Cricetulus griseus: one gene and its partner. The protein of the gene in region 1 interacts with the protein of each later gene in a biochemical or structural test. Links are inferred from orthologs where the notes say so. Each region holds a gene or a part of one and is shown on either strand. Other genes may lie near its edges. The genes, in order: Plxnd1 and Sema4a.

Region 1 (3,808 bases):
ACCACCCGACCCTGGTACCCACCTTTGCGGATCTCCTCGCGGATCTGAGACTCCATCTCCTCCATCTGCAGCAGCGTCTTCTGCCAGTAGCGCTCGGCACGGCGGCTCTTGGTGCAGAAGACGAACAGGGCTGTGGGCAGCAGAGGGGCGGTTCAGGTCTCCAGGGTTCATGAAAAGGTGGGTACCTGCTGTATGCAGCTTGTGGGCCTGAAAGGACAGGTTCTACCCATGGGCCTTAGTGCCTCTGGGCAGGAGGCAAGCCCTTCTGCTCCTTGTCCCTCCCTGACAACACAGGGCTTGAGGTCCAGCCAGCAGGGTAACCCTTGAAGGAATGTGTCTAACAGCAGTCATCAGGGGCTTTCTCTGGGCAAAAGAATTTTCTGCCCTGATGTGCCTTGTGAGTTAAACTTTTCAAAGTGGTATGCAGTACCTGTTCTTCCTGGGAGGGATGAAGTATCCATTGATTATAGAAATCTTATGGATAGTATTTTTAGGAACAAAAAAAACATCCAGGGTGTTCATCTTCCTCCTGTTTTCCCTCATAGCTTTGACATAGTATTTAAAAACAAACCAACATGGGAGCTGGGGTGATGCCTTACTTGGTAAGGCACTTGTGCAAACAGGAGGACCCAGGCTTGAACCCCAGGACTCAGATAAAAAGCAGGGCATGGTGGCATGAGCCTGAAATTGAGGGCTGGGAAGGCAGAGAAAGGTAGCCGCCTGGGGCTCACTGGCCTGCAAGCCAGGTGAAGTCAGCGAGCTCCAGGTCCCAGTGAGAGATCCTGGCTCAAAATATAGGTGACAGCCGCTGAGGTACCACACCTCTGGCCTCCAAATACACACACAGACCATAATCCATCCATTTACAGGTCAGGGTGTTGGAGCTTACTCACATACCACATGACCATCAGCGTTATCCAATTTTACAACGTTCTTGCTGTCCAAGGGTTACCCTCACCCAGTAAGTGGTTGCTCCCCACTTCCTTCCTCTCCCGACAACCACTAATCATTGCCCTTCCTGGATACTTCAAGTAAAAAACAGTAGGGCAGTATGTAGCCTTTTGTGTCTATCTTTTTAATTTTCCATGTTTTCAAGGCCCATCCATGTTGTGGGAATGTATTGGCACTTCATTCCGTTTTTATGGTAGAAAACTCCATTGTATGGATAGACCTCATTTTAATTACCCACTTATCATTTGATGACCTCTTATTATAAGTAATATTGCTACAGACATCTGTGTACATGATTTTATGTAGACATGTTTTCCTTTCTCTTGTGTAGATTACTGGGCCATCTATGCCTAACAACTTTTAGGAACCGAAAGGCCATTTCCTAAGGAAAGTGTACCTTTGTCCCCCCAGCAGTGTATCGGGGCTTTGCTCTCTCTGCCACATTGCATACATTGCTTAAACACACAGGATCATCTCCCCTGAACAACCTCTCTCCAGAAGCCCCCAAATTCCTCCCCTTGCATCCAAAGCCAATGGCCTGAGCACAGAAGCTCCAACCAGTATCTGCCACTTTCTTCCTATCCCCAGCTCAGGATACCTGATTATTATACCCACACCTTACCCACTGCCACTCTCACAGGGATTCATATATACGCTCCTGACTCTCAAGAAGTGAAGGCTACTTACCAACCACAGAGAGTAGCAACAGGACACTGCAAATGACAATGGACACCACAATGGCCGTCTCGCTGCCTCCCAGTTGCAGTGTGGCAATGGTCTGGTTGAAGTTCCCCACCTGGATCTGTGCACAGAGTGGCAGGGGGTGACACAAAAGCCCTTGCTGGAGCCATGCCTCGGTTCTTCTCACAAGCTGCGTGCCCACAGGCACATGACCTGATCACTCTACCCCTCACAGACAGCCACAACCACCTCCTGATCAAACTGTGCCTGACAAACTGTGATCCAGGGTTTGGCAGAGAGACCGACTCAGTACAGGGTTGTGATGATGACAGCCTAGGAGGGGGGTCACAGGGAAGCTCATGGGGTCTGGCTGTTGTCCTGGGAACAGGTAAGGGGCGACTCAGCAGGAGGTATGAAGATGCAGAACAGAAAGCACCTCCCACCTCAGACTGTCTTTGCTCTTCTCCCTGATACTACACAATGACTACGCAGGCCACACTCTAGGTGGGACACCCAAACAAGCAGGAGCTACTTTTTAATAGCTTCTGGGGCTAATAACTTGGGTCTCAGTTTTCCCATCTGTCAAGGCAGGGTATAAAGTTCTGCTTTGCTGGCTTAAATTATTGAACATGGAAACACCTAGTGACTTCCGTACCCAGAAGCTGGGTCTGCCCACCTCCAGAGCCCCAACAACTCACAGTGATGGGCAGCTGCCCTTCAGCTGTGCCCAGAGACTCATTGACTGAGCAGTGGATAACTCTGTCTGAGACGATCTGGATGTCGCAGGACACCTGGCCAATCTTGATGTGGTACTCATGGCTCTCAAGACCGAGGCTGTCTTGCTCCTTCTGTGGGTGAGGATGGGATGCTGGGATGGGGGTGGAGTTCCCAGGTCAACTGCCCCCATTACCCATCCTCCCAGCCAGGTGCTCACATGGATGACAAGGGTGAGTGGCTCCCCTGGGTGATGTTTGATCCACTTCTCCCTCTTGGCTGTGGAGAACTGTGGGTTGGGGAGGTAGTCCAGACGGAACCGGCTGCCCCGCTGTGCCTCTGCAGGGTCCAGCAGCTCCTCAGCGGCATCGTCTGTATATGCCCGGCCATTGATGAAGAAGTCTACAAGTGCTGAAGCATTGCTCAGGGCTCCAGGAGATGGGCAGGTGATGAGCGTGGAGTTGAGAACCTTGCAGAGCTGCAAGGTTGGGGTAGGATGGACCCATGAGAGTGGAAAACGGGAGGATGCGGGTAAAGAGAGGGGGAGATGGCGAGGCCAAGCAGAGCAGACCACCTCACCCCCAACCCCTCACCCCATCCACCCTGTCCCCTCACCGTGGGCTCCCGGCCAATGTGGTGTACCGCCATTGACACATTCTGTACCATGTGGAAACGTTCACCAGCCACAGTGATGGTTCTGCCACCGCTGAGGGGACAGCAAGACTTGTCAGGCTCCCTTCAGCCTGGACAGTGAGACAGAGTAGGCATGGGTGGGTCTGGATCTCACCTGACAGGGCTGCGGCCTGGGCGGATGGCTGTGATGACTGGGTTCTGCATGTACCAGAAGGTGAGGTTTCCATGCACGCAGCCCCGGCTCTCAAAGCGCACACACACAGGCACTAGAGCCGGCAGGGTACCCCCAGGCACAGTGCAGGTGATGCTGGTGGCTGTGCGTCTATGGAGAGTGATGAGCCGATGACATGAGTGTGACCCTTTCCAGTTCTCACCCACCACAGGTGCCCCGGCCTTGTCTTCTGCCACTTCTGCCCAATTTCTTCTTCCCACTGCCACACGCTGCCTCGGGTTGTACCCAACTTGGACATATCTCCTTCCTTCCAACATCTACCCCAAGTCAAGAAGGGCCAGAGCAGGGCATACCCGGATGAGACCTATGGAGGGACTCGCCCACCTCCCAGCTGCCAGGCTGTGGGCGTGGCTTACATAAGGTCGGTGCAGGGGTCTGTGTCATTCACCAGGACCTGGAGCATAGAGCCCACGTGGAGGTCACTGCCGTGAATGGTGATCCTGGTGCCCCCTGCTTTTGGACCCAGGGCAGGCTCCAGGGAGTGGACCACGGGCAGCTGGGGAGAATAAAGGGGTTAGGCTCTGGCTTCAGGTTATAAGGAGTGAGCTGGATGGTGGGTGGTGGTAGTCTACTTACCACATAGGAGAAGTGTTCCCG
Region 2 (4,429 bases), on another chromosome or scaffold:
AAGTCAGCTGACCTGGGTGAGTGGGCAGGAGCCCAACCACTCTTTATTGGCCTAGGAGCCCTTGGTGCCTCATTAACCCTGCGTTATGAGGTCTTCCCTGAAGCCTTTAGGGAGGAAGAACCAGTCACCATTCCAGCTGGGTGCCTCAGCTCCAAAATGCATCCTATGAAGCATGAGCTCAAAGGGGAAATTCCTCAAGTTTCCCATTGGCCTGATGCTGTGGTAAGGGTGCGAGAGGTTAGACTGCAGGAGCTCCCTCAGAGAAGTCAGGGACACAAACCTATACAAACGTGGGCTTTTTGCTGTTGTTTATTTGTTTGTTTGTTTCTCTGTGCAGCCCTGGCTGTCCTGGAACTCACATTGTGGACCAGGTGGGCCTGGATCTCAGAGATCCACCTGCCTCTGCTTCCTGAGTGCTGAGATTAAAGGTGTGCGCCACCATGCCTGGCTCTAAATGTTTTATCTTTCAAGGATGTGGGAGGTTTGAAGGTTAGGCCCCTGTAGCTATTTCTCAGAAGGTGGCAATGGGGGAACCCCACTACAGAGTCAGCAAAAAGAGGAATATGAAAGACAGAGTCATACTGAGCTGTCTTGAGCAAGAGGAGAGACCGCAGCTTGGGCTGGTTAGAATGGAAGTGATGTGCTAGAGACACAGGGACATCACTGAAGTGGCTCAGAAGAAACCCTTAATTTCTGGATAGACTAAGTGGAGGGAGGGAGGTGTGTCTCCCACAAAGCCTGTGAGCCTCCCCCCCCCCATCTCCCCGCCCTGATCCACTGTTCACCAACTTCCGCCCAAGCCAGGATCTGTCACAACTCGAGGTAGAAATTCTGGTTTCCCTGGCCTGGAACCCACACTGGCTCTCGCAGGATGGGTGCCTGGAGGGCCGTGCTCCCATTCCAGCCGGGCTGAGCCTGCTTTCTTTGCCTGGACCCCCTCCTTTGCCTTGGATGCTTCAGGGTTTGAACACAGGACTTCTCAGTGTGGCTGGCTCAAGGGTATGTGAGATGATGAGGTGGGCAACTTGCACTCTGCAGTCACGGGGATGTTGATGCTGCAGAGATCCAGGGAGACAGAGAGCAGAGGCACAGAGACAAGGGAGGCCGTAGTGGTTGGGAGTCTGCCAGTGACTCCTGCCTAGGCCAACCCCAAGAAATGCAGTCAGCCAAGCTGGTAGATAACCTGGCATGCCCCTACCCTGAAGAAGAAGGCTAGATAGGCCCTATTAAGCCAGAGTCAGAGTCCCTGGGGGCTGGGGAAAGAGTAGGCTGCCTGCCAGGGTTGGGGTGAGTAGCAGGCACAAGGTGTAGGCACAGCTGAGTGACAGGCCAGCCTGGGGAATCTACCCTTTGAGTACAAGATCTCGTTCCCCAGAAGTCCTTTGTCCAGGGCCAGGAGTGATGAGGGCTCTGAACCATGGGGGCAGGAGATGCTAAGGGGCAAGAGAAGAAAGGGACTTTTCTGTGTGTCAGGTGAGAAATGACAATGTGGTCTTTTAGTAGGAGACCAGGGGCACAACATGAGTCACACCAGGGTCCCTACCTGGAGGGCAGGGGAGGCAACATCACTGCGAGGAGTGGAATGGAAGTGAGACTCTGAGGGCCCTTCCAGAGAGGAACTTCTGTCCCCCTGGGGCTCTCCTATTGGCCCTCAGGAAGGGTGTGGTAAGCACTGCTTACCCAGAAAGTGCCTGTTTCCCCAGAGCCATCTGGTGACAGTCTCTGTCTGACCATGGCCCTACCATCCCCGGGCCAGGACCCCTGGAGTCTCCTGGGTGTTTTTTTCTTCCAACTGCTCCTGCTGCTGTCACTGCCACCTGCTACCGGGACTGGTGGGCAGGGGCCCATGCCCAGAGTCAAATATCATGCAGGTAAGTGTCTGGTAACTGGGAGGTTTGGGTGTCAATGAAGAGACGAGGGGGTCAAGGAAGGAGAAGGGACTTTCAGAGGGAGGGCAATGGAATGGAGGGACAGAGATGCCCAGGAGGGTCTGGGAGGAGGAGAGACCATTCAAGTAAGGTACAAATTGATTAGGAAGAGAAGACAGGGCCACCGTTGCCCGTCTTCCGCTAAGCCAGTGATTTTTCTTTCCCTCGTCAAGTGTCACTGTCACCAAGCAGGACACCTTAAATTCCTGACTGCTTTCACAAGTTCCAGTTGTCCCAAAGCCAAAGCCCATGACAGATTGTTCACGGAGCTGGTGACTCCAAGCTAACTGCAGAAATCACAGCAGGCCAGATTGTGTCCAGTAGGATGGGCACCAGGGGAAGGCGCCCTGGACAGCTCACCTGGGAGTGGGCTGGAGCTTGGTGCTGAGCCTCAGTGGTTTTCTGCTGGGGCTTCTGAACCCTCTTGTTCTAGGAAATTGCCTCAAGGGAAGTGCTACACACACACACACACACACACACACACACACACACACACACACACACCGAACACCACCAGCGCAGAAGCTAGGCAGTTCTGTTCACCAGCTTAGCAGCCTTCTGAGGCAGAATGGCAAAGGATGTGTAGGTTCAGTGGAAAGAGGCATCCCCCTGTGGGATGGGAGTGCAAACACTACCAAGACTGGGCCTCAAGGGGAAGCCAGGATGAAGCCTCACCGTGGGGAGCACAGAGTTCAGGGCAGGGCATCCCACACCATGCCGAAACATTTGGTCTTCCAATTCCTCTTGGTCCTAAGATTCCTTGAGGCCAAAATGGTAACAACCAGGCTGTCCTCTGACTGACACAAAAGTCCAAACGTGCTGACGAGGGAGGGTCTGAAGCGCTCACTCCTGGCTGATGTGCAGGAGCTCGTGTCTGAGTGCACACACACCACCACACTAGGTAGGGAGTGGGCCCTAGTAACCAACATACTTAGCCTGTCCAGGTGGCATTCAGGCATGCCCACACTGACAGGGCTCCGATAGGGAGAGGCCATGGCCTTTCCAGTCACAGCATTGCTAGGGAGATTCCTGTAACAGAGCAAGGGGAGGAAACAGGGGAAGGGAGGTGGTGGGACTCTGAACTGTGACAAATCTTGAAGCAAAAGACATCTATCTCGGCTGCTTGTGGTTGAGAACTCTTTCCTGTGTCTACCTGTCAGTGTTCTCTCCCACCCTGTCTCCCTGCAGCGCCCCCAGGCCTGCGAATGTATCTCCGAACCTTACTTCATTTCCTGCCTGGGTCTTGAGCAGACTCCCCCCACCCCCACCTCCACCAGCCCCAGGCTGTCACTACCTTGTCTTTGGCACTTTTCTCTCTTGTGGGGACTCAACACACAAAGCTCCTGGGGGTTCAGGAAAAGGGGGCTTCGGGCATAAGAGCAGGTCCAGCTGCCGAGGCCTGCCACCCCTCCCCGACCTTGTCTCAGGAATCAGCGGCTGTGCACGGTTCCTCCTCATCCTCTCCTTATCACTGCCTCTCAACAGGAGATGGGCACAGAGCCCTCAGCTTCTTCCACCAAAAAGGCCTCCGAGACTTTGATACGCTGCTCCTCAGCGCCGATGGCAACACCCTCTATGTCGGGGCTCGAGAGGCCATCCTGGCCCTAAATATCCAGAACCCAGGAATCCCCAGGCTGAGGAACATGGTGAGGAGGCCAGACACAAAGGGTCTGACTGGAAGTGAGGACAGCTACTGCCTGGGACCAGTGCAGCGCTTCCTATCAGCAGTGTCAGGATGGAAAGCCGTTGTGCTCTCACTGTTTATGGAGGCCATGAATGCCGATTGAGTAGAATCGGCTGCTGAAATGGCTGATACGGAAATCAGTGGCATAGGAGAAAAACATTGACTCAAATCAGTGACTCAAATAATTTGATGTTCACCTACCTATGAGAGAAATCCTTGATTCTTGTGCTATCATCTCCCTAATGCTAGCAATGTGAGGGAAAGAGAAGGAAGGCATGGCTCATGGATTCTTAGTGGGAGGTCTCTTGGCTATCTGCACATGTGGGGTATGGGCTAAATTCCAGAGTCTTGCTTGGACTAGGAATGTAGTTCAGTGGCAGGGCACTTTGTCTAGAGGGTGGCAGGCCCTAAGTTTGATGTCTGCACCCCTCCTATGCAGCTTCTCTCAGGGGTGGCTCAAGAGCTGACAGCCTCCCCCAGGAAATGTGTGGGTTATAACCACTGCTGTGTATGCCAGACGCTTACACACGCCATCCATCAAGCTGCAACCACCAGCAGGCTGTGAAACTGAGTCAGAGTGCACAGTCCGCTGGTGGCAGAGCCTAGATTTGAACTCAGATCCATCTGGTTCTACCACAGAGCCACGTCCTGATGAACCCTAATAGTGTGGAAGTGATAGTCCTAATCGGCTGGCACCCCCACTGCCTACCAGAAGACCACTAACTGCCTTACTGGTGTTTTCACACCAGAGCTGGAGAGGGGAGGGATGGTGGCTTATAGAAAAACCCAAGACCTCATTGCCTTTCATCTACTCCTC

The links.
Region 2: the proteins of Plxnd1 (region 1) and Sema4a form a complex in vitro, tested with the Homo sapiens proteins (2 studies listed by IntAct, with this or other methods). The link is inferred for Cricetulus griseus from reciprocal best matches to the Homo sapiens genes PLXND1 and SEMA4A.

Annotation. Positions count from the first base shown.
Region 1 is NC_048601.1:28,898,656-28,902,463, reverse strand, and holds part of Plxnd1 (plexin-D1), read right to left. Parts: coding exon 3,788-3,808; intron 3,708-3,787; coding exon 3,568-3,707; intron 3,302-3,567; coding exon 3,134-3,301; intron 3,053-3,133; coding exon 2,962-3,052; intron 2,825-2,961; coding exon 2,567-2,824; intron 2,481-2,566; coding exon 2,331-2,480; intron 1,754-2,330; coding exon 1,639-1,753; intron 131-1,638; coding exon 23-130; intron 1-22. UniProt on the Homo sapiens protein: Cell surface receptor for SEMA4A and for class 3 semaphorins, such as SEMA3A, SEMA3C and SEMA3E. Plays an important role in cell-cell signaling, and in regulating the migration of a wide spectrum of cell types.
Region 2 is NW_023276806.1:66,051,473-66,055,901, forward strand, and holds the start of Sema4a (semaphorin-4A), read left to right. Parts: upstream 1-1,436; 5' UTR 1,437-1,732; coding exon 1,733-1,871; intron 1,872-3,413; coding exon 3,414-3,574; intron 3,575-4,429. UniProt on the Homo sapiens protein: Cell surface receptor for PLXNB1, PLXNB2, PLXNB3 and PLXND1 that plays an important role in cell-cell signaling. Regulates glutamatergic and GABAergic synapse development.